3 linked regions of the Oreochromis niloticus genome follow. The main gene of each other region encodes a partner of the protein of the gene in region 2 in a complex. Links are inferred from orthologs where the notes say so. Each region holds a gene or a part of one and is shown on either strand. Other genes may lie near its edges.

Evidence for each region. Proteins that work in one complex are often made in the same cells at the same time.
Region 1: ncapg (region 2) and smc4 share a complex: the UniProt entries of both Homo sapiens proteins name them as parts of the condensin complex. The link is inferred for Oreochromis niloticus from reciprocal best matches to the Homo sapiens genes NCAPG and SMC4.
Region 3: the proteins of ncapg (region 2) and ncaph are in contact, whole or in part, in a crystal structure (PDB 6IGX), measured with the Homo sapiens proteins. The link is inferred for Oreochromis niloticus from reciprocal best matches to the Homo sapiens genes NCAPG and NCAPH. Residues at the interface, in NP_071741.2 of Homo sapiens: Lys11, Phe14, Arg15, Gln18, His50, Tyr51, Lys53, Tyr54, Val55, Met56, Val57, Glu62, Ala64, Val65, Val68, Phe102, Ser106, Glu108, Ala109, Asn110, Ser111, Val114, Arg115, Ile149, Arg150, Lys152, Asp153, Lys154, Arg159, Glu188; in NP_056156.2 of Homo sapiens: Glu471, Ile472, Asp473, Phe474, Glu475, Asp476, Asp477, Ile478, Phe480, Val482, Tyr483, Phe484, Arg485, Lys486, Thr487, Ala489, Ala490, Thr491, Ile492, Leu493, Gln501, Asn502, Trp503, Ala505, Thr506, Thr507, Leu508, Phe512, Tyr514, Val516.

What each region holds. Positions count from the first base shown.
Region 1 is NC_031979.2:23,948,026-23,958,454, reverse strand, and holds the start of smc4 (structural maintenance of chromosomes protein 4), read left to right. Parts: upstream 1-5,839; 5' UTR 5,840-5,995; intron 5,996-6,062; exon of another isoform or gene 6,063-6,085; intron 6,086-6,679; exon of another isoform or gene 6,680-7,359; intron 7,360-7,368; 5' UTR 7,369-7,378; coding exon 7,379-7,520; intron 7,521-7,658; exon of another isoform or gene 7,659-7,776; intron 7,777-8,502; coding exon 8,503-8,693; intron 8,694-9,237; coding exon 9,238-9,429; intron 9,430-10,429. Other genes in the region: ift80 (intraflagellar transport protein 80 homolog), read right to left, coding at 1,994-2,062, 2,197-2,307, 4,358-4,579, 4,804-4,840. UniProt on the Homo sapiens protein: Central component of the condensin complex, a complex required for conversion of interphase chromatin into mitotic-like condense chromosomes.
Region 2 is NC_031971.2:21,718,367-21,728,542, reverse strand, and holds the start of ncapg (condensin complex subunit 3), read right to left. Parts: upstream 4,804-10,176; 5' UTR 4,698-4,803; intron 4,667-4,697; exon of another isoform or gene 4,541-4,666; intron 4,405-4,540; 5' UTR 4,383-4,404; coding exon 4,275-4,382; intron 3,791-4,274; coding exon 3,536-3,790; intron 3,139-3,535; coding exon 2,910-3,138; intron 2,660-2,909; coding exon 2,514-2,659; intron 1,366-2,513; coding exon 1,281-1,365; intron 511-1,280; coding exon 318-510; intron 236-317; coding exon 86-235; intron 1-85. Other genes in the region: protein FAM184B, read left to right, coding at 9,002-9,043. UniProt on the Homo sapiens protein: Regulatory subunit of the condensin complex, a complex required for conversion of interphase chromatin into mitotic-like condense chromosomes.
Region 3 is NC_031977.2:6,090,666-6,101,176, reverse strand, and holds the start of ncaph (condensin complex subunit 2), read right to left. Parts: upstream 4,591-10,511; 5' UTR 4,440-4,590; exon of another isoform or gene 4,370-4,439; intron 3,476-4,369; 5' UTR 3,471-3,475; coding exon 3,253-3,470; intron 3,119-3,252; coding exon 3,028-3,118; intron 2,884-3,027; coding exon 2,791-2,883; intron 2,112-2,790; coding exon 1,994-2,111; intron 1,835-1,993; coding exon 1,683-1,834; intron 325-1,682; coding exon 135-324; intron 1-134. UniProt on the Homo sapiens protein: Regulatory subunit of the condensin complex, a complex required for conversion of interphase chromatin into mitotic-like condense chromosomes.

The DNA.
Region 1 (10,429 bases), on a different chromosome or scaffold from region 2:
GTTTCTTCTGAGATTATTGCATACTTGTAGCATCAAATGACAGCAGAATCAATGCAGAAGCTTTAGAAAATCAAAAGAGCTCTGCACATTAATGCGCATTCTGAACTACTATATTTTATATTACTTATTGTGCTGCCAAATCTTGTACATAATACATAATAATATTGCTGGAATCCCTTTACGTCTTTAAAACACTGTTTACGCAAGCACTGATAGCCATCTCATGTCTGAGAAGGGCTACAGTTAGGTCAATAAGGTTTTGAAGAATTATACTTTTTTTGGTAATTTTAGCTCTGTATACCACCACAGTGTATTTTGTAAGATAATACATGATTAAATTGCAGACTTATAGCTTGAGCTTGAGAAATTTAACGAAATTACTGCATAAACTCTTTGGGCATTACAGTTTTTTAATATCATTCCTCATTTTCAGTTGCTCAAAAGAAAATGGACAACTGACTGACAAGCAGTTACACAGCCAGGTGAGGTCTGATGCCTTATTATATCATGCAAACTAAATAGTTTGCACCTCACCTCAAGTGAGGTGGACTCGCTTGAACCCTTCATGTAAGGGCCACAGAGCTGTCGATGCATGTGAGGGAGGCCATCATTGAACTGAAAAACCTAAAAAAAAATCTATTCGACAAATAGAAAAAAATTAAATACTGGACAAATCAACAATCTGTTATTTTCTTAAAAAAAAAAAAAAAGGCAATGCACTGGCCAGCTCAGCTACACCAACAGTATGAAAGACTACAGAAGACAACTAAAGGAAAAGATTTAAAATTCTTTCATTTGTTAAAAATGCAAATAAACAAAAAAACTCGTCCTTCATAATAAGTTCAACTTCAAGTCAACAATATTCTCAAAATTTAGCCATATCATTGTCAAGGTCTACAATCATGAGAAGTTTTTATAAATGTAAATACAGAGGGTTTACAACAAAGTATAAACTGCTGGTTACACTCAAAAACAAGAAGCCTAAATAAGACTGCTGGAAAACATCTAAAAAAGTTCTGTGAAATATTTTTGGACAGATGAAACCAAAATCAACATTTACCAGACTGATGGACCTAGTCAAGTACAGAGAAGGAGAGAAACCGCTTATGATCCAAAACGTACCATATTATTTGTCAAACATGGTGGAGGCAGTGTTATAGCATTGGCATGTATGGCTGGTAGTGGAATTGTGCCTCTAGTGTTTATAGATCATGCGACTGCTGAAAGAAGTACCGCAATGAGGTGTTAAGTGTGCAGGGATGTAGTGTCTGTTCAGATAAAACAAAATTACCCAAAACTAATTAGACAGCGCTTTGCAGTGCAAAGGGAAAATGACCTGAAACAAACTGCAAAAGGTACCCAAGAGTTTCTAAAGGCAACGAAACAGGATATTCTTCAGTGGCCAAGTTTGACACCTGATCTAAGCTCAACAGAGCATACTTGACCCACAGAGTGACCCAAAAACAAGCAGGACTGAAGATGGCAGTACTAAAGGTCTGCAGTGCATCTCAAGGGAAGAAACGGCATTTAGTAATGTCCATGCTCTCTAAACTCATTCACAAGTTGATTGATTGATTTGGAATCCACTGTGATGGTGCATGGAGCCAAAATGGCAAAAAAAAAGTGCCAATGCCCAAAACCATATGGAACTAACTGTATAGTGTTGCTTTTTTCCTCCAGCAAATCAGGTTTTTCCCAGATGCAAATAGTGTTATTAATTATCATCTGTTATTCAGGTAAAAATCTGATTGAGATTAAAGTCTTTTTTCAAGTGAGGCCGGGCCAATTCAGACACATCAGGAAAAGTTGGGCATTTTGTTAACTATAGAAATTTTACAGGTGCAACTGTTTTCCTGATCAGTTTGATCTGCGTTTTGCTTTGCTAATTAACATTTTAGCGCTTAAATAATAAATGAAAAGTGTGCAGTTTTGCACATGCACTAGATACACATTTGCAGCTCCGCTTCAGTGAAATTAAGGTTTTAAGCCTTACCTTGGCTGGCTAGTGTTGAGCGTAGCATCCCACTTTTTGACCAGATTTTAATCTGCCCATCTTCTCCCGCTAATTAGAAAAACAACCAGAATAGACCTTAAAGACAGCTTGATTAGATTCTCATTTTGATTTAAAAAGGAAAAAAGGCTGATTAGATGAGTAGTTGTCAGATAACAGAGGAAATGAGTCCTAGTCATCTTTACCAGTGATAAGAGCAGTCCCATCATAGTTCCATCTTCCAGCCAAAACAGCTCCTTTGTGCGCCTCAACACTCTTCTCAATGCGACCCATCTTTGAGGTTAAGTGGAACTTTCCTGCAACAAATTTACAAAAAAACCCCACATAGATGGTGTAAAGCCATTCCACACACTAGGCCTGGGGTGATGTTGGTGTTTTCAGTTGTTTATAACTCAAATACAGAACTGAGCATTGTAATTCACTCAGTAAAGTTTCATAAATCTGTGGAATTCTAGTTACTGTGTAATAGAAAACAAGTTTTAATGGCCAAGACAAAATAGTAAAAATATATAAATAAATACGTATTTTAATCAAAACACACAATAACTACCAATGCATCTCCTAACACACAAATACAGACAAATTTATATTCTCTCCAATCAAGTAAATTACAAACTTCTGGTTTGAAGCAAATGAGTGAAACTAAAAAGGCCTCTGTTGGGTGAATTAGGGCAATTTTCTATGCGGTAGACACGAAAGGGTGATCAGCCATGGAGAGTTATTGAAGACCGTAGCCTACCATATACTTTGTGGCAGTGTGTATTAAAAATTCTGAATGTTCTATGTAATTTCTGGTGACCTAAAACTGCAAATCAGCATGCTGCAGTGCTCTCTCATTTCTAAATTTGGACATCCCAACAAAAGTAGATGTAACTGATCCAGCAGGTAGTCAGTTTAACAGGCATGTACAGCTGAGTGACTCTCTTAAATGAAAAGCACATTAGAAAGCCACATTCTACATAGGAAATGCTTAATTGTTTGTTTGCCTCTTATCTGGAAAGCCTCATTTTTTGATTTCTTATAAAAAATAAAATAAATAGTGATAATAATAATAATAACAATCGACCCTTTTAGTTTAGCTTTTCATTATATTTGGTCCTTTGAGAAATTCCTGGCAGCGCATCTAGACTTCCAAACAAAGTCTGAGAATATTCATCACACTTAATCGTACCCTCCTTGTGTCAAATCTGTCATACAATATAATTTCCAGCAAATGCCACGTATGAGCTATGCAATTCTGTGCCTTAACAGTGTGAACATATTGGGGATTCCAAAATAATGAAGTACGCTTATTAAGTAAATTTACAATATCAAGCTTAATAGGAATGAAATATTATACGAACTCCAATACCATGTGTGCTTGTAATTTAAAACGCTGAAACTGCTTAGCATCATACATTTAAAAAAAAAAAAAAAAAAAAAAAATCACAAATAAACTTGTAAAAGGGAAAGAAGGCCAACTAATCAAAAAAGGTTAGGAAATCCCAAAGATATAAAGTCTTCAAAACTAATAAAACCCAGGTGGACTGTTTTCTCTTCAAGTATGTCATACAATCTAATAGGAAATCCAACAAAGAATCCAGATTAAAAACTTTAATCTGGAGCAAAAGAAAGCTTTCAGTGTTTCAGTTAACAGTGAAGTCAAAATAAATGAATAAAACTCTGTTTCTATTCCCATTGCAGAACCAATAACTTTTGCAATACTAATATTTTTAACCGTAACAAGACAAGAAGCAGAGGAAAGTTGCAAAATGGATCGTAACACTTTTCACTAGTCTCTGCTCTGCCAGAGAAAATTGCTGCTTCAGTTTGTGGGTGTGTTTATGCAACCCTACACTGCCATTAGTGTTGTGACCACACATTGCCTTGCCATAACAGTACATCCATATTCTGTGTGTTGCATCTAACGCAGGCCAAAGAAGAGACATGTACGACAGATTCATGTCACACAAATAGTATCAACCAAGGGGTCGGTATTAGAAATCTACAAAACAAAAATTGAGTTTTAGACACAGATTTATACTGAATACATAAAAAGAAGAATTCAAATGGACTCTACTGGATCCTACAAGTATCAAATTGGTAGCGATTATTTCCCTTAAATATAAATAACTCTTGAATTGTGCCTATGTCTTCTAAAAAAATAAATAATCAAAAATTAAGGAAGACATTGCCATCCTGTAGATAGCCAAGTCTGTTACTTTATTTAATTTATTTATTTCATGAGAATGTCTTTAACTAATAAATGTATAGATATGACCAAAAAACGGCCACTCATTTTATGAATGAACTCTGAAATAAACCCTTTAACATTCGGGTCAAATTTCAGAGAATACAGAGACTTGCCATCTGTGCTGGTAAGAACAAAGATTTCAGCCTGGGCCTGTTTCTTCACACCAACAGTTTTGGGGAACCAGTGTAGGTCAGTAGGGTAAATTTCCTCTGGCAGTTTGACAATCAGACTGGTCTCACTGGTCAGCAGGTTCCACTTGAGAATCTGATGATCCTCACTGCACGAGTACAGCTCATCTGCTGTGGTCCAGCCAACGCAGCTCACAAGTTCTTTATGTGATCAGCTGTTAAGGAGTTATTAGTAATGAACTGATTCTAAAACCCTTTTTTGTGGTAACCTCTGCAATAAATTGGGTTTTCTGAAAAATGGACAGAGGTTAGAGCAACACAAGGATGGAAAATACTATCACTGCCTCAAATAGCACCACTAATAATTACGATTAAAAGTTCTGGAATTCTGTCACAGAATTACATGTGTTACATAATTACAAAAAGGATATGTTTGGATTCCTTTAGGAGCGACGTTTTCAGTCTCATGGTGGATGTTCGTTCTGTTGATCACTAAACGAACAGAAAAATGTCAGAGACAGTAACGTACCTGTTATGTTAAAGCTCTCTATATAACACTGTTGTCAAACCAACACAAAAAATAATAGTACAGAAGACCTGAAGCATGGGTGTATACAGCTTACCCGTAAACTATGTAAAGCAGCCGTTTGCACTCTCCGTTAGCTGTAACGATGAAACAAACAAGCGTCCGCTGTTGCTACGGTACCTGCTACTGTTGCTAACGGAAGTCCTCAGCTATCCCCTGAGTCTCGTCTGTGACTTGAATGCTAACGTTAACTTGTTCTCTTGGTTAAAATGGACATCGTTTTCTCGTTGCCGAGTGTACTAAGCGACTCTCAGCAAAACGTGCGTGTCATTTACTCTACTATGAAGCGCTATTAGAATACGCAAAAGTCTTATCTATCACCAATCAGCAATTTATGCCCCAACGTGTAAAACCTGCACTTTGGTAGCCATTTAATCTGGGTCATAAACAGCTTGAAAAACAAATTATCGCGAGAGTTGCATCTCAACTTCCTTGACAACGGAAATTTCGAAATATTTCTAAGTTCAAAAACGACATCTGTTAAATAAATGCATTTATGCAAGTCGTTAGAATCGGGATCAACCAACACTAACAGTTGATCTATCGAGCTATATTTCCTCAAGTATAGACATTGCCCGGGGCAGGTCCTTTATCGTACCACAGACAACCGTTTGAAGACGTAGGAACAACATTAGGCATTTAATAAGAATAAACTTGAATAATATGAACAATTTGCTGTAAACGCATTGCATGGCTCTTATTCCTTTTCGTTTGTTCTTTAGAGTCGTGTGAATGCGGTTTGTTTGGAGTGAGGCGGAGTTGGCTTCGTCCCCTTTTTTGAATTTCGTTTCCCCCCCCCTGCCCTTTGAACGTTCCATGGTGCCTTGCGTCAGTTTGTAACGAATTTGGTTCGACAGCGAGGTTTAGGCGCCATTTACAAGTTTGAGTTATCAACTAAGGAGAGCGAGTCGGAGTGACACGGGAGTAAATTTTTTGGATTATATTTGCCAAACTTTGGATTGACGATTATTTTTTGCGTAATAGCGACTGTGGTCTGAAAGGAAGACTCTTGACAGATCGTGGTTATAGTGTGGAAGGTACATGGAAGTATTTTAGGGGAATGTAACGACTGGGTTCCATCTACTTGCTGAAATGTATTACGTTTGAAGAGGGACTTAACAGTAACGGCAAGTTAAACTAAGGTTTAACGTTAGCTTCTGATTGAAAGCGAGCGGACCATTATTACACATACTAACAGAAATAATGAGACCTAATCACTTTTCGTCTTAACTTATATTAAACCCACAGTGACACTCACTCTTAATAGTGACATTTCCGACTCGTTTAAGTAATGCTCGCGTTGCTAATAGCTCATAACCGGCGGGCTCTAATGTATTTACTCGTTTAACTTTAATACTAGGGTTAATAACTCCTTTCATTTCAGATAACACGTTGACGTTGGATAGGTTTTGCGTTTCATTTATGCCGACACTCCATTTGACTTTATAGAGCCCAGCAACTCATACCTTTTTATAGTTTAAGTTAGCCATTATGTTAGCTTTAGCGTCGCAGCGATATTTCACTTCATATAGTTAGCCAATCAGTTAGCAGCAGTAGTAGTAGTATAGCTAACTTAACGGTAACGTTAGCAAGTAAAAACAGCGTGGCAGGGTTTGCGCTGCCATTGCCAAGTTACTTATTTGGCAAACGTGAATGTAATTATAACGTTATGCTAACACGGGTAAAGTTGCATTAGTTGTTTGAATGTGCGTACCAATTACCTAGCGAGTTAGGTTGGCTCGTCTACGCCTCCGCCCCAGCAAAAACGTTGTGGGGATGAAAGTTAATATTAGTGTCGGTTTGAAACCTCGATCAATTTAGGACGTTGGGTCTTCACCACCAACTTCAGCCAAACTTCAGCCACATTAGCAGTGGCAGTGTAACGCAGGCTAGGCTAAGAGAGCTAAGGGGGAAAATAATTAGGCTATTTGCACATTAACTGAGTCGTTTTTCACTTGCTGTGACGTTAACCTTATTTTTGCTGCGTTATTTACCGCCTAGGTTCGCGAGGCAAAATAAAATGCATGATATAGATGCAGATGCCTACTACAATTATTCTGTGAAAGGATGAGATTATTATTTTAATATAGGTTATTTTAAAGAAAAATGATGCTTGATTTTAAACTTGAAATAGCTTATGATTCTGTGCAGTCATCGGATTGGTGCTATCTCATTTTAACGTTTTCAGCACGAGTAACTCGTGTAATGCTGGACTCATTGTTGTAACAGCAATGTTAAGATATGCAAAGTATACCGATTAACAGTTAGCTGGGCGTCAATAGGATCTGACTGTGGTAATGATTAGAGCCTGACAGAGAAGCTGCGTGTAACCGACTAAAAGTGGAGTTGAGAGATTGACAGGCACAAAAACCACTCATGGATATTCCCTTTTTACCAATGACCCCTTCAGATTTCAAGTCATGCCATCTAAAACTGCAAAGAGCTCAACTGCCTCCGCCAAGCCAAGAGGGAAAGGGTCGCAGTCTGACTCCGAAGACGAGCTAGATGTACCCCCTCAAGAAACCAACTCCAATGGCCAAGAGGAGGCACCGCCGAAAACTGGCAAGTAACAAAGGGTGTTTTGGTGTCTGTGAATCTAAATAAGTTGTTCAGTCAAAGCCTTTGCGTGTATTGCTGTATTGGTAGGGGCCAATTGGCACAGCTGTAAAGCTTTTTTTTCCCCTTCTTGCTTAAACAACACGGAGTTAGAATGGCTGATATATTTTTCACTAAAGTGCCAGTCATCAATAAAATGATTTTGGAGATGATTTTGATAACGCCGAGTGTACTTCTTCCCCGGATCTTCTCAGCAGACGAGGTAATTTATTTCGAAAAATGAGGTGCTTTGTGTAGTAGATCAGAGCGGTGTTTGACTTAATTCTTGTAAGCTTGATATTCACTGATTTCTATGCGAACCTTATAAGATGCACATAAGCAGTGGGTAATGTCTGTATTTTGTAGAATATGTTGAAATGCTTCACTGGGTGTCTGGCTGCGAGGTTTTAATTGACAAACATCGACATCTTTGCTTGTTTATGCTTATGTGAGCACAATAGATTTTGGACAGGTCGTTGTGGCTTGGTGTGATGGCAACATAATCGTTTCTGCGTTACACATTATTATCACAAAACACCCGTTTTCCTGTTTCTGTTTGAGCACAGACAGGCATGAGTGAAAATGTGACGCTGATGGCTGAGATTTCCACTTTAGTTATTTGTCATCGACAATGTGGCGCATCTGAGTACGTAGAGAGCGTTTGGATTATAATGTGGGTTCGTTCATAAGCGGCCATGGTCTCTTTTCTTTTTTGGGGTTGGCTCTTGTTTGCAGAACAAAGAAAAATAACGCCTGTCAACTTTTCTTTCTGGAGTCGTACTTTGACTGCTCTTGTAACTTGGTGCGTGTGTTTTGTTTGTTTTTGTTTTTTTGTGTGTGTGTGTGCGCGAGTATGCTTCTCTACCCCTCCCCCACGTACAACTGCCCCCCCCCCCACCTGAAACGACTCGAACAGAAGAATAAAAGTTGTACTTTTTGTGTGCCACAGATTCGTCTCACGGGGAAGCTACCGAGACCGTTGATAATAGAAGTTTGGAGGAGATTGTCGGTAGCATCCCTCCACCTCCGCCCCCAGCAATGACCAATGAACCGGGCGCCCCTCGCCTGATGATAACACATTTAGTTAATCGAAACTTTAAATCATATGCAGGCGAGCAGATTCTGGGGCCTTTTCACAAGGTACGACCAAACATGGTTACACATGTAATCCCTGCCTGGGAAATACTCTTCTGATGTGTCACAGATTTAACATCACTTGTTGTGTATCCCACTCTTAATTTAATTTTTTTTCTGTTTAATTTCATATGATATAAACTCATAGATTTTTGCCTCGTGTAGTAGAAAACAGAACATGTCACAGAATAATTTATCCTGCTATATTTTAGCATCATTGCCTTAAATAAAATCAAAGTGGAAAAAGTCAGACTCCTCCATTTTGATTTAGTGAGTCTATCTCACAAGAGGTAGTGATCTAGTGGGGTGCTCACTTCTCTTGAAAATTGTGAGTTTCTGTAAACTTTGTCTTCATACCTTTTTCTGTTTCTTTTGTTACTAAATAATTTCTCTATGTTAAAAACAACTTTAACTTACACTCACATGGAATACATTCAAATTTGCAGTCTTGCTGAAGTAAAATGTTACTGTTTAACTCTACAGGATAGACTCTGTTTTTACATTATTGATTTTATTTTATTTTTTTCTATTTTCTCTACCTTTTTCTTAGCGCTTTTCCTGCATCATTGGTCCAAATGGAAGTGGGAAGTCCAATGTGATAGACTCAATGCTCTTTGTGTTTGGATACAGAGCTCAAAAGATCAGATCGAAAAAGCTCTCAGTGCTGATTCACAGCTCTGATCAACACAAAGATGTGCAAAGCTGTACTGTGGAGGTGCACTTTCAAAAGATTATTGATAAGGTATATATATCTATCTCTGTCACACAGATGCATGCTGCACTCACTCTGAATTAATAAATGGGTAGCCCAAATGCAGAAAGATAAGAAGAAATATTTTCTGAAGTATAGTGGTGTTTGTTGAATTAAAAAAAATATATATTTTTTGTTCTCTGTATAATATTGCTGCATAGTGATCACAACAGTGACTAAACAAAGACTCAAATCAGTCATGAAAGTTACAGCTAACACCCACACATGTCATAGTCAGTTCATATTGTGCTAGAGTTGATCCCTCTATTTTTAAATATATATATATTTTTTTTAAATTGCAGTTCAGTAATTAGCCTCTACTCATTTGACTGTACTGTGAAAAGTCAACAAAGTGGCTTTTGTATTGAGAGAGAACTTCAGTTGGGTGGCTAAGATGACAGATTACACTGAAAATCGACTGAACTGTAGTTCAAAGAATTAAACACGTTTCTATATTTGATCTGCCACAGGGGGTGTGAGAAAGTGTTTTGCCTTGTGTACTCATAAATGTGTCTGAGCCTTTCTCTTTGCTTCATTAGCTCAAAGTAAATTCAAATCAAGTTGTTAAACTGATGGTCAAATTTTGTGTGCTATATCAGCTTTAAACTATTATTTCTAAAACAAAAACAAAAAATCAGAAGTAGTATAAACAACTTAAAGTTTTAGACTTGCTTCTAAAAGTACTTAATTTTCTGTTTTATGCTGTATTTTCACTGTCATTATTTTATCTAATAAACTGTTTTAATTCTCTTCATATGTTGCACTCCATACACTCCAGTATGTATAGGGTGTATTTGCATGTTACTCTGGCTAGCTTTATATACTTTTTAAAGAAGCCTTTTTTTCTTATTTTGTTTTTAATATAGTGTGCTTTTTTGCCCTAGCCATCCTAATGTATTTGTTAGTGTTATAAATGTTATAAATATTGCAATTTGCTGTGTGGAGCTGTTTGAATTTCTTCTTAACTGCTCTCTTCTAAGCTGCTCTCTGT
Region 2 (10,176 bases):
AAAGCTATTTGGTTCAGAATTTACAGAGCACAGCAATAAGCAAGAAAACCCCAATTTATAATCCAATAACAGTGGCTCTTCTTACCCACAGAGGTAGTCGGCATATGTTGCTGCATCTGGCAAGACTTGCTCCAGCATTTCATCACCATCATCTCCTTTACTCCTGATGAACTCACACAGAGCTCTCCAGTAAAGCACATTTTCACAGGTCAGACTGTCCTTTGGGATCAGCCTCCTGTTAAAAACACACACATCATGATCTGTAACTTCAGACATTTTATTTATTATTTGTTAGACAGAAGGAGAAGTGAGAGTACCTGTTGTCGAGCTCTACTCGGTTCTGCAGCAGCTCTTCAGTCAGGATGTTTTTGAAGATCGCTTTCAGGGTCTCCAGAGCCGTTTCTGCACAGTTTTCCACATCCAGCCTATGGAGCAGTTCAATGATGTTCCCATCCAGCCGAAGCAGCCAGGCCGGTAACAAACGAGAACAAACCACCTCCCTTACCGCTTCTGAAAACCACACAGGCTATCAGACACATATACAGCAGAACCATTCCTGTCAATCAACAGATATTTCTGACACTTTTTCCTCTACATAAACAAAAATACTAGCGGTGCCCAGTGGTACCCATCAGCACACCAGTAGATACACCTATGGTATCAAGTTGAAACTCTTACGGCACTTTATTCTCAAGTTATCACATTTACAAGACTTTCAGAAAACTTGACCTCTGACCTTGAGGTCAAGATCACTGAGATTTAAACTCGTCAGAGATTTTTATTATCACTTATGTTATCAATTTCAAAATTCAAGGCGACTTCCTTCTCGAGTTATTGCCTTCACAAAATTTTCAGAAAGCCTGACCTCAAGGTCAAGGTCACAGATTCAAATCCTGAGATTGATACACTTCTGGTATCAGTTTGAAAGCGTTGCTTCGTTGTCGAGTTATCGAATTCACAAACTTGGATGTCAAAGTTCAATATCCAATCAGCCTTTTAAAGCCGAGGGGTAAAAAAGGGCTCAACTTCTCCAATGTGTTTTTCATTTTATATTTGGTAAAGAAATCTCTTTAACTTTTAGATCACTCATTATTCCAAAGAGCTTTTTGCTGTATAAACAAACATTTTTGACAATGAAGAAAAAAATAACTGGTGTATTACTAATTAAAAAGTTAGCAGCAGCTTTGATTGGGGTTTTGCGTTACTTTAAGTGCAAATTTTGAAGTTATAAATGCATCTGTATAAAAATAGTATTATTTAACCACAAAAATCAGTATTACCTGAGGTGTCATGGAGGCCCTGCTGCAGTAGGCTTACTCTCTGTGCAATGCTAAGAGCTTTAATGTGAACTTTGTCAGCCAGAACCTTAAACAGAAACACACATGGAAGTTTTAGTGCAAATCTCCGTAATCAACCAGCCCTTGCAGTGGATACATATTTTTACATTCATAGGTAGGGATGGGTACCGGTATCCGGTGCCATTATGGGACCGGTTCTGACATAAACGGTAGTAACCAGACCGAAAAGCAGCGCACATTTCGGTGCTTTATTTCGGTGCTTTTTTTTCCTGAGATGTCATACACTTTGGATTCTAGCCAATCATTTTACCTTTCCGAGGATAGTAGGCGGGCCCAGGTACGTACGTTCTTTTAGAGCAGAGCTACAGATTAAAAACGCCCAAGGCGAAGCGGTCAAAGTCTGGCTGTACTTCACAGCAAAAGATGCAAACTCAGCAGCCTGCAACAAGTGCTTTAAGCTGATACTGTGATACTGTCAAAGGAGGTAACACCTCAAATCTGATGAAACACCTGGCGACGTATAGCATTTTGTTAAAAGCCGAGAAATGCGCCATATTTGATTGCTTGCTGCGAGACCTCACACCGAGCACATTTACTGCGGGTGTGGTGCCTGTTATCGGACCCGGAGTTAGCAACATCCCCCAAAAACCCGAAGAGTAGAGTCCTGGCCCCTAGCCCTGTCAGTGTAGCAGAAATGATGACGGATGATGATGGCAGCAGCAGCCGTTCTCCTCTGTGTGAGTAGCTTAATCTTGTTCGTGTGTAATTTACGTTGAGTAGGCTAACCACATTATTACATTAATGCATGTAAGGTGAACTAGCAAACACCGTCGTAGTTACATGCGGCTCTCTTCTTGTTTGATGGCAGATACTCCATTCACCCTGGCCAAAAACGCTAAAATGACCAAAGAAAAAGTGGGAAACAGCTAAACATGAGAGGTTTTTGGACAAAGTTTGTGTTTTTTCCATTGTTTAAGCACTGCTTCCAGCCAAGAGTGATACCATATATGCCCTATAGATGCAGAAAAGGCTAACATTGTTATCTTTTTACAAAAAAAACAGCTGAACATGAGAGGTTTTTGGACCAATTTTGTGTTCTCCATTCTTTAAGCACCGGTTCGAGCACCGTTTAAGCACCGGCACCGTTTCAAAAGTACCGGTTTGGTACTGGTATCAGATAAAACCTAAACGATACCCATCCCTATTCATAGGTACCTGGTACGCCAGCTTGCGGACATTTTCTTTGATGTCTCGAGTGCGTTTGAGTACTTTGGGGAGGGTCCGAGGGGACATTGCAATACAGGACAGAACGGCACGTCGCACCTCGGCATTAGTATCGTTTTCCAGAATCAACATAAACGCTAGAGGAGAAAATAATTCTGCAGTTAGTGACAGTAACAAAGATACACAAATACAAAAACAAACAAATAAAAAAAATAAAAATAAAAAAAAACGTGACAATAATTACTTTCTAAGAAGTGAGATTCAAGAGAAGATTGAGAATTTAAGACCATGTAGAGGATTTTGGGGATTCAACACATAATTTTAGATAATAAGTCACAGATTTCAATATTTTAAAAAAAAAAGAACAAAACAAAACAAAAAACAAACCATTGATGGTTGGACAGTCTGGATCTGTTGGCTGCTGAAGGCGGGTCATGGCCAAAGCAGCCTGAATCCTCACATTGGGGAATTTGTCAGTGACACGGACCAGCATGGCTTGGTGGATGCGATCAAAGAGATCGTCGTCAATCTGTGCATTCTCAGCCATACTGCCCAGCAACTTGTTGATCAGCTGACACACTCTGAAACGTACTGCATGACTATTGGCTTTGTGGGACTGAGATAAAAAGGAAGGCACAAAACTCGGATTAGGAGGGAAAAGGCAGAGATACGAGAGTAATTGTGAACATAGATTGGATCAGGACAAGTGTATGAGGAAAAACAGATGTGAATACATAAGGAATAGAAAGAAGTCATATGGGAAACCACAAAATAAGATTGAGAGGCAGTATAGACAAGAATCACCTCAAAGCCTTTGTGTTCAAAAAGTCAGAGCAAAATCAGAAATGTACAAGTTTTAATTTTTGTGGTTAACAGACTTGTTTAAAAAAAGAAAAAAAAAGGAGAAATTTTTAACAAATCAAAATCAATAGGTCAAGAATTTGCTGGTCACTTCACTAACACCACCAAAAAACAGTGCTCACAGGCATAAACTAGCATTATAATGTTCATACCTCCAACAGAAAGTTGAAGATGAAACTCTGAAATGGATGATCGTCCTCAGCATCATCATCATCTTCTTCTTCTTCCTCCTCCTCCTCCTCTTGCTGCTGCTTCCCCTCGTTTGTTTTAGGCGGAGACTGGAAACTTGTAGCAAACCTCGCAACAAACTCAATGACGTTTTCAACTGCAGGTTCACGCTTGTAGACAATCATTGCATACTTCAGGTAGTGCGCAAACTCCTCGTGGAACAGTGATTTATCCTCAAGCTGAGGGACGAGACAGAGGAAAGAAGGGTCCTTGCTTATGAGATCAATAATAAGAACCTAGGTCATCTGAAAGACTTATTTAACAATCCAGACATCTCAGTTAATCTGAGATTAGTGTGCTTTCTGTCCGATAGTTTAATACAAACAGCCCCCAAGCACTTTAAACTTCCAGAAACTTAAGCAAGTCTCCTGTCTCCTGCCAGACAGGAGAAAAAGAGGAAGACCTCAAAGGAGATTCAAGCACGAAGTGCAAGAGGATATATAGAGAGTACCCGTAGATGTGACGAAGGAGAATGAAAACCTGTGTACAAGCTTTAATTTCACTTTACTGTATTTCTTCCATATCTAAGAAGACAGCGCATTTATACTTTCTCGTATAAACTGAGTTATTTTATCACATTAAAGATATGACAATGCACTCATTAATCCAGGATAATGTGAAAGACAAGTAGGAAGAGACTGATAAGAAAGCATCATCTCCTACCTTGTTGTAGCGGCTCTTGAGGCTCGCCACCAGCTTTGCCTTGTTATTGTGGCCCTTCTGAGCGCGCTGAAACGCCTCCTTGATGTCTATTTCGTTGTCCGCTGTCATCTTTCCTTCGCAGAAACCTAAACTAATACAGATAGTGATACCATGAGCCGAAGCAGGCTTACCTAGAGTAAACTCTGCTGTCAGAAATGTCTCTATTAGCTAGCAGTAAAGGAAGCAGCCTGATGGTCTCCGGTGTCTCATTAGCTTCCTAAACCCACCTCGAGAGAATTACCAGTGAAACAAGAGCAGAGAAAATAAACAACGCAACGTAATTAAGTCACGCACGACGAAGTCCCTAGAGAGGCGTTTTATAATTATCAGACATGAAAAGTAGTATTAAAGCCAAAAGCTTAACGCGTGAGCTTTAAAACGTACCTCTTAGTTTTCTTCTCAGTGAACAACCGCCTGTTTTTGAATTTTACTCTCGCGAGAACTGAGTTGTTTGCGTACGTATGTGCGTCACGTGTATGGTTTTTCCCTGTGTATGCCAATGACTGTAGTTTCTACAGTCACTGGTGTATGCCAAGCGGGTAAGCGATTCTGTGGAGGATATAGCTGACAAAAAAGGTTATTTATTTATTTATTTATTTTATCTGATAATCGAACAATGGATATTTGACCTCTTGTCACTGCCATATTAGAATAATTGTTTTAATGAGAAAACAACATTATAAAAGCTTCTCAAATTTTTAAATTAAAAAGAGCTTGTTTCTGCCACTAAAAATAATAATAATTAATAAATAAAAAATCTAAAAAATGCAGTCCGGCTTTCTAATTCAAAATTCTGAGTAAATAAATTTAAATTTTGAAATACTAGCCTAAAAGTTTGACTTATGGATGCCCGTATGTATCCCTAATATGTTAGTCAAATATCATTATCAGTTTGTTGAATTAAATCAACCCATTGGCAAATAAGATGGCAACTGAATGATGTTGGATGTCATATTAATGTTTTACTGGGGAAATATTCAAAGATAGTGTGATGAAGATATTTGGAGGTTTTATTCTATAGATCAAACCCACTGAGACAACACTGATGGCTTTTTTCACAGTTTTGAAATATTTAACAGATTTTGTAGATATGCAAAAATGTAATTTAAGGGTATTTTTGATTTCCTCTGCATTATGTTTATACTTCAAAATGGCAATATACCAATAATTATTAGTTGAGTTCTTGTGTTTGTTTGTTTTGTTAACCCTAACCCTTTTTTAAACTTTTATTTAGCTTGGTTTCCTGCAAGGAACTAACTGAGGTGACTAACAACTTTTATGAAAGCATCTCTTTTACTTTATAACAACCATATTAGTTCGACTGAAAACCTATTCTCTTTAAAACTATATAAATACATTAGGTAATCATATGGATGAATTTCTGTTGAACTACTTACTGATGTTTATAATTTAACTCATATGTATAATATATTTGTCATTAGTATCGTGCAGCCAGTGTCCAGGGCCACAGCTGCTGGACAGCTGTGGAGGGGACAGCTCACCCATAAGGAGGGCAAAAACGTGCTTCTACACAGACAGAGAGGGCTCCTTATTTTATGGCATCTATTTTTGGAAATTAATTTAATATAGATGGCACTCTGTCAGACTGTTTGCTTTAGACCTGTGTGCATGTAGGCCAGGGATTATCATGAAGGTGTATTATCATATTAAATATTTATACAATACAGGGACAAACTATCCCTGCATTAGACCACACAGCTACAGCATCAGAAGCCAGAGGGATGAAAAAAACCCCTGTGTACATCTGTAAATACTGCAAAGGTGACAAGAAATTGTTTGAGATTCAAACTCTGTATTAACTGCAAGGTAATAAACACATTTAGGCCTACATATTTAAAGGCTTGGTTACCTGCTCCTAGTTTCTCATGTTTGTTTGAGATTATGATGCATAATGTGAACCACCAAAGAATGTGGCCCAATAATCAGTTTGTTTCAACTAAACTAGGCTGTCATTAGATCAAAACTGGATTTATAAAGGTGGCACAGCAACACACTCTCCTGGGGCACATTTAGAAAAATGTTTAAGAGGAATGTTTCAGAAACAGAGAGATTTAGGCCCAAGATGGCGCGAGTCAAACTGTGTCCCAAAAAATGATCAGAAAAACGTAAGTGGCACAGAAGGTCTGGCCAAAGCAGGTATTATCCTACCAAACTGCTCTGTCATAAATGTTTGTATATGTCTGTGCTTGAATAACACTTGGATGTGAGAGGGTTGATGCAAACAGCCTAAACAGGGGGGATGTTATAATGGTTAAGTTGGCTTTATAAATGTCTGATATCATGTCCACTTTGTGCCATAATTCACCGGCACTGTGGAAATAGGAAACAAAAATGAGATTTTCTATGCTCACCCACAAACCAGCAATGGTAGATTTCTGCCTCTTCCTGAATCTGGTTCTGCTGAAGGTCTCTAATTAAGGAGATGTTTTTCTCATCATTGTCGAGGGTGTGCTCATAGGAGGACCATCTGCTTGTTGAGTTCGTCTAATATTGTAGTCTTTGCCTCACAATATAAAAACGCCTTGAGAAAACTGCTTTTTTTTTTGTGAAGGGATGCTTTAATTAAATTGCATATTTTTCTCATTTTTATTGTTGCTTATTTGTGACACTTTTTATGCAAACAGCTAAAGCCAAAGGTTTTCTGGCGATCTGAAAAACTGCCATATTATCTCACGTATCATATCTCACCCTTCTCCAGAATAACCACACACATTTGAGTTGATCTTATCGTATCAGGGTTTACTTCAGCATCAGCTTAAAGGCCAAGAAGTCAAAAATCTTGCATTAGAAACTGAAGATTTGAACTTAAAAGACCGTGTTCAATAGTTAACTCAAGCACTTGGGTCCATAATGTTCAAGTGCCTCACAGGCTCAACTTTATCTGTAGATTCATCGCATTTATAAAAAGGATGCAAGGACCAAAAATGATCTATCCTTAGATAAACACAATTACAAAAACTAGACACTTCAGATTATGGCATCTATCCTACGTTGTGACTGCCTGCTCTCTCCACGTCCTTTCCACCTTGGACCTCTGTGTTTTGTCATTCATTCTGTCTTCTCTGTGTATATATAGCCCTGCCCACTTTGGGAAGGGGTGAGGCACCCACCACATTGAAATTTGATCCCCACCTCCAAACATATTGTGCTATTATATCAATGCAATCACAGACAAAAATTGCAGATAAATAACAACCGGAAAAACTGTTTTCTCCCCGTCAACACATCACTGTAAATGTATATCTGTATAATGTTAAATCATATTACATGCAGTAAAATCTATTGGTTTAACAGCCTGGTTTTGAACGATGGACATCCTCTCACATACCTTTCCTTAATTTCTTTACTGTGCAAAAAAAAAAGAGTCCACTGTATTTTTCTCAGTAGTTACCTTTGTGCACATTAAAATCATTACAATTCACTGGATTTTCAACCAGTTTCGAGTGATTTTTAGTTCTGAAAGCATATTCTGATTTCCCATGAGCCCCCTCTGGTCGGTTATAACCCTTGAAAAAAAATCCTGTTAATGCCCCTGCATTTGGATCCTCTCATTACATCCTGACACTCTGCTGCATTTTTTTTTTTTTTAACCTGTCTCTGTCAGTCCACCAAACGCTATGAAAACCGCAGCAACACATTTCTGGAGCAGGCTACACCTTTAAGGTGGAGAAATGAATATTTAGTAAATGGAGTCCACTCATATAGTGAGTCACTGCGCTCTCATTTGCTTGCACACTCTTAAGTAGGGGTTTTCTTTGAGACAACGAGGTGTGCATGTGTACTTGGAAAGTAGTGCGTTTAAGAAACAAATAAATGTGTGGGAAGTTCCTTCATCTGTGCTAATCCACCTTTTATAGTGAGTGCTAGTAGTTGTTCTGTTTTTTTTTTCAATGAAATCAGTCCACAGTCAAAGCATGTGGGTTATCGTGTGCTCGTCCACAGCAACTGACACTGCCCTCAGTGCTCCCCTTTTATCTGACTGATGGAGTAAAATCACACGACTGGACCCCAGAGACCCCCTCCTCCTCCTCCACCTCCCATCCGCGCGCTGATCGGCATTGATACAGCAGCTCCGGTAGGGGCGGGGCAGCACTGCAGCAGTGCGCCTCTCGAGCTGTCTCCGGTAATGTTCCATAGGATACGCACGCCCCGCTCCGCCCCTGCCGCGAGACAGGTGGTCGGACTGTACGCCTTCATCCTCCAGCGCTCCCTGTTAGACTAAGAAGGAGGAAAAAAATCCGTTGACAACAGGGAAAGGGTCGGTCGGCGCGAGCGCGTCCCCGATGGACTTCCAGCGTGTGACCTCCGCGATCACCGGGCGGACAGCAGGAGAGGGGGGCAACAACGGGAACGCACGAGGAGAGCCCCGCCGATTTACTCCCAAATGTTTTGCAGCGGATTACTCGAGATGCCGTTCGCGGGAGAGGGTGTGCCGACGGGGGAATGAGATGCGCGAGTAAAAAAGTTGACACGATTTCTGGTGGGGATTTTCATCTGCGAGGCGGCGGGATCATTTCTGACTATCCTCCGGGCTGGGAAGTTCCCCTGGGGGGCTTCGTTATGGCTTCAGGCGCCGGTAAGGCTGCACAGCCCCCGGGCCGGGCTCCGCCGTTAACGGGACTGCGGCAGAGTTCTCCAACATCGAGCAGGAGCTGTACGACTATCAAATGCACAGCAAGATGTGCAAGAAGATCGCTCAGCTCACCAAGGTAAGACCCGCCGGTGACACCGAGAGAGGGAGGGAGGCGCGCCGCCCGGATGTCACTCCTGTCAGGCTGACTGATGATCCGCTGGCTGCCTCACACTCAGACACGGACGGCGCGTCAAAATAAATGAAAATACACATGAAATCCGTAGTTTAAAATAATATAAATAAAAAAATAATAATTTAAAAGGAGCAGGCTGGTAAAAGAAGCTATAAAGTCGGTACATAGGTCTACATGTTTTACATTATCTCGGGATAACGACGGGAAAACTTGGATCAGCTTCGTGACTGACAGCTGCAGATCCCGAGCACCAGACATCAGGCAGCAATTAGAACTGATGCAATTTTAATCAATCAGTAGATTTATGGATTACCTTCACCTTGCATCGATTTATAATCTGGACGGTTAGGATATTAAAACAATTCCACAGCTCACTGGGCCAGAGCCCAGAGTGATGCTTCTTTGTCTGACCAACAGAGAGAAAAACGACCCCAAAGGTGTGCTATCAATTAACTGTGGTGTGAAACAGATGAATCCCCACAGTTAATTAACAGCTTGGTACACCAACATGGCATTTCTCTGTGTTTATCAGGGAGTTTAACAGCTGCAGCAGCTGCATGTGGGGATTCACCCTCTCTGTATCTTCACAATAATGCTCACAGAGGCAGGGCATGACCCATGGCTTGTTGAGCTATGACAATTACTGATGACTGTGCACTTCTCATCTTCCCTTGTGGATGCACCTCTGTGTCTTTAAAAAAAAATTGGACTTCCTATCATGCACACAGGCCCAGGCAAACAAAGATGACACAGATGAGGGGTCAGCACTTGTGTCTGTGCTTGTTAGGGGAATTCGCCGACCCCGTCCTTCAACCTCTCGTGCCCCTCCGTTCCTTTCCACCCTGATTTCCCTCCACAGAAAGCCAGGACTTGTTTTTGTCTCCCCTGAAACTTCATGGCATGCCATGCCAGCCCCGCTTTAGCTCTGTGGCGACCACAGTAAATGAAACCCGGAGCGCGGCTGAAATATAAGAATCACCGATACACATATTTGGTGTGTTTGGTTTCCCCTGAGCTTTGGGATGCTGGGCATGTGGCACATGGTTTATTTGAGTTGTTTGGGGGGTGGAGAGCAG
Region 3 (10,511 bases), on a different chromosome or scaffold from region 2:
AGTTTTCATTTCTGGGAGAAACCGAAGGATGACAGTGATACAGTGCTAAGGGTTCATATGAACATCCAACTAGCGGCACAATATTTAACGTCCAAGTGTAAATGAATTTATTGGGCTTAGTGAAAGACTTTTACCCATGAATGGGGATGCTGGGACCCCCTGTGGAGGTGGAGGAGAGTAGGCGGGTCTGGACTGCAGGAGGGTCATGTGGGATGGAAAGAGCAGCTCGCAGCGACTGCTCTCACTGAACAGAACTGACAGGAAGACTCCAGCTGTGCTGCTCTCATCAAAGGATGAGGCCATCCGCTGAAACATGGGGTCCACCTTTGTGGGGAAGACAGAAAGTTTATCATAAACACAACCTACCTTGATATCAACTAAAAGAGGCATTTAAGCTTATTACTATGGCAAAGTGATGCTGTGATAGTAATGAAAAAATAAATAAATAAATAAAAATCACTCGAGGTGTCTTCTAAGACAACATCTAATTTAACTATTGATCTAAATCAAACAAACTTATCAATCATCATTGGATTTAAGCTGATTGAAGGCTGTAATCCATGATAGTAATCCAACATCAACTCTAGCAGTGATGCTGAAGTTGTTTAACATTTAGTAAAGAGACCTCTGTACATAAGTGAATATAGAAATTTGGTACGGCGACTGTGCCACCCTTTTTTTTTTAGTTCTAAACAGTAAGATCGTTCTTAATTTGACTGCTAAATATATAACAACACCAAAAATAGTAAGCAGTATTCATAAATTTGTATTTTTCATCTTGTCATGTCGAACAGTGGGTTTCTGTACAGGAAATAAAACAGAAGGCTGTTTTTTTTGTTTGTTCTTTTTTTACTGATTCTCCTCCACACTAACTTTTTCTCATGTAATATAATCACAGCTGAAGCATGTTCATATCAATAAGGATTTAATTAATTAAATAATTAACAAAAATCTAAGCTCATAAATAGCCCAAGCCTAATGAATATACTTTCAGCTCATGTTCAAAACCCATCACATAAATCTACAGCTACATTACCTTAAGTGAAGAAACTAGTATAATTTACTTGGTTAGAATCAAGTACTGCTTACTTAGATTACAGCACTGTTTGTGTAGTGATGATAATTACATTTGGCATAAAAATAGAGATCTACCTCTCTCTGGGTCTTTGTTGTTTCTATATTATATATATCAGTTTAAAGCATTCCACCTATTTTAATGGAGTGAGGGTGTGTACTGCATCTCGAGGGAGTTGCATCTTCTATTCTGGTGGTAAAAGATAACAACATAGCTGAGTCTGTTGGCTACAAAACAGAACGATTTGACCCAAAATCCAAACAGTGAAAGGAAAACAAAACAATCAACCTCTGAATGTTTTTAGTGTTGTTCATTTATGTGCATGAGCCGAGATCTTGCAGAACAACAGTGTAAACAAAGGTTGTTTTCAATTCATTCTTATTTAACCCAAATACTGAATTCCTGGATCTATACATTGATAGCTATATTCTATTATTGCTTATTGCTGCATGACATAAGCAATAAGCAGGAATATTTCCCATGATTAGTCATTGGCATAGTGGTCCCGAAGCCCTGAACGATACTTCTGTTATTTCAAAAAGTAAAAAAAAAAAAAAAGAACTGAGGTGTGCACTATTTTAGTTACTTTGCTAAGACCTCTACATACCTCACATCTCCTCTCAGACTCAGCACTGTTGATGTTGCTCAGGTTCTGCTCTACTGTCTTCTTGGGAGGCCTTTTCTTCTTTGGCTGCTTGGCAGTGACTTCACCTCCTGCAAGTCCTGCATCATCTCCATCTTCCTCTGTTGCACCATGGCCTGTGTATGCATAAAGAATTCAAAAAAAGCAGAAAATCTTCAATAGTACAGGAAGGTGGGTTCAACAACTTTAAAACTGTGTTAGAAAAAGCCAGAAAGCTCAAGCCATAGCACAAGTATGGTTAAAAGAAAATCCAACGACAATACAGAGACTCTCACCCTCTCCAGGTTTGGTTTCAGCACCCAGACCACCCAGCACTCTGTAGGCATCAGCATGAACAGCATCCACCCTCACAGCGTAGATTTTCGTACTGGCATCCAGAGTGCCAGCTGCCACCTTTAGGATGAAAAGATGTAAATATTGAAGGATACTGCTTGCAAAACTAAATAATAAATACTCTAGATTAATACAGAATCCTGCACTTTCTCAGAATGAGTGGTGCTTGTGAGATGAGAGATCACACTGGACAGAATGCAGCCTTAATTTTGTATAAATTCTGCTTCCCTGAATTAAAATCAAACTGGTGTTAGCACCCGCCTAACTTAAACAAGTCAGGTGGGTGCTGAGTCCAAGAAATATATTCTCCTGATATTTTAAACACACTTTAAAAAAAACCCAAACAACATTTCTATGTTCTCCAACAACCAGAAAATTATTTATCATGATGTCTGTGAAGATTCTCAGTCATCCAGGTCATCGTAGTCAAAGGAGTTTGCAAAGAAAAGCGTCTGGACTTCTTTAAGTTGCTTGAAGACGTTTCACCTCTCATCCGAGAAGCTTCTTCAGTTCTAAGGTCAAATGGGTTTAAATCTGGGACTCTCGGCCATTTGACCTTAGAACTGAAGAAGCTTCTCGGATGAGAGGTGAAACGTCTTCAAGCAACTTAAAGAAGTCCAGACGCTTTTCTTTGCGAACTCCTTTGACTATTTATCATGATGTTTCATTCAAATGTTTAAATCAGTTCAAAGACTTTTAGAGAACCAAAATGATGAATGAAAGAATCAGTTACACATACCTTGAAGTTGGTGAGCTCTGAATCCTTTTGTTTGAGAATATCAGCCATGTAATCAATCAAATGCAGACCAAATGCATTTTTGGTGGTGATTTTCTGTCGATAAGAATAAAAAAGTACTTAATTCATTTATTTGCCCCGTATTTCGCCATATTTTTTCATTTACCAATCACAGAGAAAGACAAAGGACATTTACTGTAAAGGGAAAAGAGGAAAATGCATACACATACAAATACTTACATTTTCAGTGGAGAGTTTTATGCAGGTGGAGTAATGCTCTGAGATCTGTGCATTTGACAACTTGGGCACAGCAGCAGGAGTTCCCACAGTGCTGATTAGGACAATGAGATTGTCTTTGAGCTCTCATGATACATAGCAGCCAAGCAGACAGGTACTGTTTGTCAAAGCCATGGCACAAAATGTTTTTACAAATTACTTTTAGTCTTGCCATTATCTACAGCATACCTGTGAGATGCAGAGTCATTGAAGGAGGAGTCACTTGCAGCTTGAAGGTCAATGACTCTTGACCTCCTACGCTGACGTCGCTCCTGCTCATCATCGTTTCCAGGGAAAGCTGACAGCAGTGGAGTGCTGCTGCCTGCAGGGGACAGACCCTTATTCTTCAAAGAGGATGACATCCATCCTGGTTGTACTCGGGAGACGGGTGTGGAGGCTCCGCTCATCTTTGCTGGAGATAGGAAAAGAAGTTTGGACTGAACAGGGGGTTGGAAAGAAATAGTGCTTAAAGAGCAGAATTCAGCGCTCTGAATGTACCGTACACATATCAATTTGAAGCAGGAGAGAAAGTTAACTTGGCTCAGTTAACTATTTGTTGCAGGCAACTCAAATAAAATCTAGAATTTAGGAAAAATATTAAAAGTAACTCAATGGATATCGGTGGTGAAATCTGTCAATACAACCCACGGGATGAGGCATATATTTGATGCTAACATAACTGTGAATCAGCTGTTTTTACAAAGTGCTGTGCTTGTGTTGTTACAGCTGTTTGGAACTTACAAAGGAAAACAAAGTTTAAGCCAAGTTTAAAAATTACTAATGAGAATAAGGAGAGAGAATGTGGTCTCATGATGGCAAAGAAATTGGGAGAAAAAAGACAAGACAAACTCTTAATGTTGGCTCTGGTTATGCAAGTATGATATGCTAGGGTTAAGTTCGCATCAATCTTGCCTGTTTGCTACCGAAACAACGTTGTTTACTTTAAGGGTTCATCATTTATTAGTATAGCACAGCACAGTCTGCGAATCCTTCCTTTTGTAGACTCATATCCATTGACTTCAATGTGGATTTCCATCAGCTTAGCTTGAACGCTACTCGCACATAAACAAAGGAACTCTACAATAAAGTATTAAACCAGTGAAAAGGTTATATACATTCAACTAAAGTAAGTTTTCAGAAAGCAAACGCCATCTTAGCACAACATATTTGGTAAGCTAGTTTAGTAAAATAATCACGTAAGAAGCACATGTACTGCCCAAACGCACTTACATGCTCACGCTAACTAAGCTAACTTTACATGCATTTTAGCATAACAACCCTAACTTCGGTATGAACGTGTTCTTACAGTTAGCGTTAGCAGGCTTACTAACAAATAAAAACTTTATCACAAGACTTGCTTCAGCCCCAAAACATACCAAGAATTGCCTTAAATCCGACGGAGACTTATGTAGACCCGTTATAAGTTGTAATATGACAGAAAGAACAAGCAGGAAATTTCTTCCTGTCTAGCGTTTGAATTTTTGCGCCGAACGGTTTACGTAGCAGCAACCTACGTCATGACGCTAACCACGCCCACCACAGCGAGAGAAAGTGAAAATCAGATTCAGAGTAGTTTAATGACCCCCAAGGAAACTATGAAAACAGTGATCTTGAGATAAAACTCAATGATTCTTCTTCTTTTTAATAATTATAATAATTGTTTATAATAATTCTTCTTTAATATTAACATAAAGTAGTTTTCGTTGAATTGTTTATTTTATGATATTGTTTAATAAAAACATTACATCACGAAAAAGTAAGTGTTCATCAGTTTTTATGACAGATAATCAGGTTTTTTTTTTCATTTTCAATACCATAATAGCATCCCCCACCATGTCTTCCTTATGCAATGATCTTTTGACTACCATGATCATTGACGAGTGAGTCAGTAAATCCTTTAATGTTTAAGTGGTCTGCTCCTTAATAAGAGGAATAACTGGTACTGACTGAGTGTATTTTGTATGTGAAGACATACTGAAACAGTGTTTGCTGTAATAATCACAGATCAAGCATGACATGTGAGGCTAGGGTCTCGAAGTTAAGCAGCTGTGACTCAGTAAACATATATTGATATTCACATCACACTAAAGCAAAACACCATTTCTCCATGTTTCATCAAAATTCCTGCACAGCTAAGAGAGCACACATGCTGTCACTTTCATTTTTTAGCATGACAGGATGGAGCACTTTGCTCGGAACCATTTTCTTTTTACTTCTATCACTTAATAGACACTTGATAGATATTGTTTGACAGCCACAGCCGCAACTCTAACAACATCAACTGACATTCAGCTACTAAAGTAAAGACTGAAAAGCAGCATGCAAGTTGCACAGTACATTTCATTAATAGCTATTTCTCTTATAATTATTGACTGAAATAAAAACTAAAGCAAAAGGAATCTTTCTAATGACATGAAGCAGCGGCTTTGCTTCATTAGACTGGCTGAGAATAATGGCAGTGCATTGGCTACTCACTAGATGGCAGTGACAATCAAGATTGTGTTGCTGGTAAGTTGAACGGTGAATGGATTCAGAATTGATATAAGAAAGTCAAAATTTTGTTAAACTACTTCCAGAATTTTAAATATCAGTTTTCAGGGAAGTAATAATTAGGTAAGTAATAACTGTGACACAATCCCATAGGATTTCCTCTAAATGAATATTCTCATTCAAATGAGAAATGCCAGTTACATTCCTTTATTAGTGTGACACTAACCCTGCTCAATTTTTCCCATTTTGTTTTTGTCTATAGAGACCTTCTGCAAAAGACCTATGGGAAAAATTCAAAGTTAAACATTAGCCAGTTCATTCCAGTTTCCATGAGTAAGCTTGACACAGTCAGAAAAAATGCCTTTCAGTGATGTTTGACAGGGTTGATCAGAGTATTATCTTAACTCCTTGGAGATGTACCCTCTGCCCATGCAGTGAACATCTTTGATTGCACCAGTAGTGAGTGTGTCTGTAAGGCAAGAGAAAGAAGCTTGAGTCACAAAAGAATTTAAGCATAAATGCATAAGTTTTAGCACACAGATGGCTCCCCAATTGGAGAATCTGACCAAATAAGAGTGTCCTCAGAGAGTTGTGTACACAAAAATAACAGCCCAACTGTCCTGGAAAATGTAAACGGATATTTAAAGTAAATGCTTTCCATTTTAAAAGTGAATTCAATTTAAGGTCATAACAGAAAACAATGTTATAACTAATCTAATTAAGTAACTAACTAATGCATTAGCTAAATTTATTCCAAATTTTGAATTTGATGGCCTTTCATTGTTCTTGGATTTACAACTTCAGTATGAAGGTATACAAGCAGATTGATATTTACACTTTATTTTACATGTTACACATTATGCATATTTTGACTTCCACCTTGGACAGTAAGGTTTCAGCTTCTCTAGTCATAAAATTCTTTTGCATTTTTGCATCAGTGGCTAGGCTTCTCTATTGCAGCAATTTTAGCGCGTTCCTCCTGAAGGGAGGGGTGGAGGTGGAGGGGATCCAACAGACTGGAAACTGTGGTGTTGCTGTGCACGTGTCCTGAAGAAGATGATAATTTTGCACCTACACCTTTTTAGTGTGCAAATTAAGAAAATCTCTATGGAAATGTTAGTGAAGGAGGCCTAATATGAATGTTTTCTCAGTCAAAATAGTCACTCAGCGTTAGAGGTGGTGGTTTATTTTTCATATCTATAAACTAACAAAGTCTAATAGTTATGAAGTTCACTCTTTAAATGAGGAACAGACACTTGTGTCCTCAGTATAAGAGATCTTATTCTTGTAAGACCAGGGCTGACTCTACCAAATAATAAAACATGTACAATGTTTATTCTCCAGGACACAGACAGACACATATCAATTCTGCTGTTTTTTGCTTGATGTTATTATTGGACTGTGCTGAAGTAGCTTTGCATGATTCCCAGTCGAAAAGCTTTGTTTATCATATACTGGGCCTTTGTGCAGGCCCTTAGTGCATTTGCTGTTTTAAACAGCTTGATCATTTGGGGCTAAATAAAGGCGTGAGTGGAGTGAGTAATAAAGGAGTGAGTAGCCAAACAGATTTAGCCCAGGAAACAACACTGATGGATGTTGGAATCAATTCTGTTTGAGTTTGTCTAATGCTGGAACGCTTATTGTGTTGATACTGCATGTGTACATTTTTCAGTAATGATTTAATCCACTAAATTCAGTTGTTATGTTACTGTTACAATTATGATGTTATTTGGAAAAGTTGGTCAATTCTCTGCATGAGGTGGATAGAAAGAAAAAACAAAACAAAACAAAACAACAACACACAAGCACACTTTTTTCTTTCTGTGCACTTGCGCTGCAATCAGCTGATTTCAGTTTGTGTTAATGATGTGCAATAACCACTGAGTTCCTTTCTGATCTGATCCCCAGTAAAATTCCGGCTAGTATCAATGATACTGATTGGCTACTGATACTTTAAACAAAAACCTAATGTGTTTGGAAAATCTAAATAAAAAGTAGTGTATTTCAAATTATACCTTTACAATGAATACAAGTGACCAGACTACTTGTTCTTATTGTTTGATTATGAAGAATTACCATATACAAAATAAAAAAACCCAAAAGTCAATACCATTTGAAAATATTCAATTAACAATCACTCAAAACAAATGTGACCGACTGAAAATAATAATACAGCTGAGACGTTTTATAGATGCCTGTCATTATCTATCTGTCTTATGTATGAAATATTTAAGTTGTATTTTTATATTTTAAAGTCTATCAAGGCTATTTTACTGTAAGTATGCTGTATATTTCAATGACACCTAGCATATATAATCCATTTATCTGGGAGTGATATCACCCTAGCAGCACCTGTCCCTCTCCTCTTCAGTTCACCTCATCATAAACTCGTCATCATTTTCTGTGTGATAACTTACTTTTGTTTGTGTTTAACAGTTCTGTGACCTTACCAAGTGAGTGAATGAGCACACGTGAGCCATGATGCATTTATACAGCGGTATTTCACTATGACAGGCGGAAGAAGTAGTTCCTACCAATCATTCAGATGGTCCCAATAATACAGGTACTTTCTACTGTGTTCTTGTTAATGAAAAACTACAAATTTACCCCAAATTACTAAAATATTGATATTTTAAGATGAGATTTGATTCTAGAACATAAATATCTGGTACTGGAAGAATTGATATTTCAGTATCGATCCACAGACCACTAGTTTGTGTGGAAGAGAAAAAAAGTGTTGGGGTGGTCAAAAGCAGAAATGTGGACATTACTTTTGTTTTTATTGCTCAAAAGCACAAGAGTGTGATTTTAAAGTTCAAACTGCATTCAGGACAGAAGCAATGTATACTGCTAACGCAAGTTTGGCTCTTTGCGAACAAGCTAGCCAAGAACCCAGCGTGATGATACAGCTGAGTGTGTGCTGAGCAGAGCCTGATCTTCAGTGATGAGTCGGCTTGTAGCTCCCGTTTGTACCTTTTGGTGTTTTCAGAGTAGAATCACTGTGACAATCGCTTCAAAGTCTCTTTGAGCTGGTTTAGCTTTGCTTTGTGTTGCTGGGTTTGTGGTCATTAATACTAGAAGAAACATTATATTCAAATTCAAAATTCAAATTCAAATTTTATTTGTCACATACACAGTCATACACAGTACGATATGCAGTGAAATGCTTAGACAACTGCTCGTGACCTAAAATAAAAGACTATGAATAGGATAGGAAATAAATATGAAAATTAAAATGAAGAGTAAATTTAACTAGGAAAGAATAAAATAAAATATAAAAATTAAAGTTAAAAATAAAATAACTGTACAACAAAATACACAATATAGAAAATATAGAAGAATATATGAAGAAATATAGAACAATAAGAGCAGCTGTACGAGTAATAAATGGTAATGAAAGAAATGTAATGTCCAGGGTTGTGCAACCCACATATTTAAGTGTCTTGTGCAGTGCAAATATGCTTAAAAGTGATTTATTTAAGTGACTTGTGATAGAGTGATCTTGTTAATCAATAACAAGATGGCAAATGTAAACAAATGTAAACAAATGTGCAGAATGTCCAGTGTGTGTGTAAAAACCATATGTGTGGGTCAGTACTATGTGGTGGTGTGATTGAGAGACCGTATCGCCTGCGGAAAGAAGCTCCTCCTCAGTCTCTCTGTGTTGGTCTTCAGGGAGCGGAATCGCTTTCCTGACCTCAACAGAGAGAACAGTCCATTTTTGGGATGGCTGAGGTCCTTCACGATCTTCCTGGCCTTGGCCCAGCACCGCCTGCTGTAGATTGAGTGCAGGGCAGGGAGCTCGGAGTGGATGGTGCGCTCAGCTGATCACACAACCCTCTGTAGAGCTCGTCTTTCCTGAATGGTGCTGTTCCCGAACCAGGTTGAGATGTTTCCCGTCAGGATGCTCTCTATGGTGCAGGAGTAAAAGTTCCTGAGCACCTTGGTGGGCAGTTGGAAGTCTCTCAAGCGTCTGAGGTGGTAGAGGCGCTGTCGGGCCTTTTTCACCACGGTGTTGATGTGACAGGACCATGACAGGTCCTGCGTGATGTGAACCCCGAGGTATTTGAAGCTGTCCACTCTCTCCACTGGGCACTCGTTGATGATGGGGGTCTGGTAGTTCCTCTCCTGCTTAGTGCTGAAGTCCACTATCAACTCCTTTGTCTTACTGACGTTTAGAAGGAGGTTGTTCCTCTGGCACCAGTTCTCCAGATTCCTAATCTCCTTCAGGTAGGCCGTCTCGTTGTTATCAGGGATCATCTGATCATCATATCTGTATTTGTGTTGGTGTGTGGGACTGTAGCCTATACGTTTACATTATTATTTCAGGACATTTCATGAAGTAATAATAAAGTAATGTAATGGCAAGTAAGTAAGAAACATACTGCAAGCATTAATTTTAAGAAAAGTAATGAGTAACATGTAAGAAATTACTTTTCTTGGGTAACCCTCACAGTGCATTGTTGCTAAAACATGCCTTGCTGTCTACTTGCAGAACTGCCATCTTATAAAAGAGACAAAGACATTTCAAATGAGGAGTAACAGGCACGCCTTTATTCATGATCACAGACACGGTTGCGGTATATTTCTGAGTAACATCTGTGAATCCTCTCAGGCTGCTAACAGCTTTCAACTATGAAGTTATTAACAACATGCTACCAATTTCCACCTGCTCTTTTCTCACAGCTGGATTGCAACAGCTGGATAGAAAGAAGGCTGCCAGCAAATACTTTTGTGTGTAGCTCCAAATGAAGCAGTAAAAGTGAACGGGAATGATGCTTTTGCTTGTTGCAATGGAGACTACACATCTATCTACAAGGCACAGTGTAACTCCACGATGGGATTTGTCTGAATCATTTGGTGTACTCTACAGTTCTGAAGTTCTCAGACTTATGTGTGTGTGTGTATACGACTGTGATTAAAAAAACAAAACAAAAAACATCTATCCTGTGGCACTA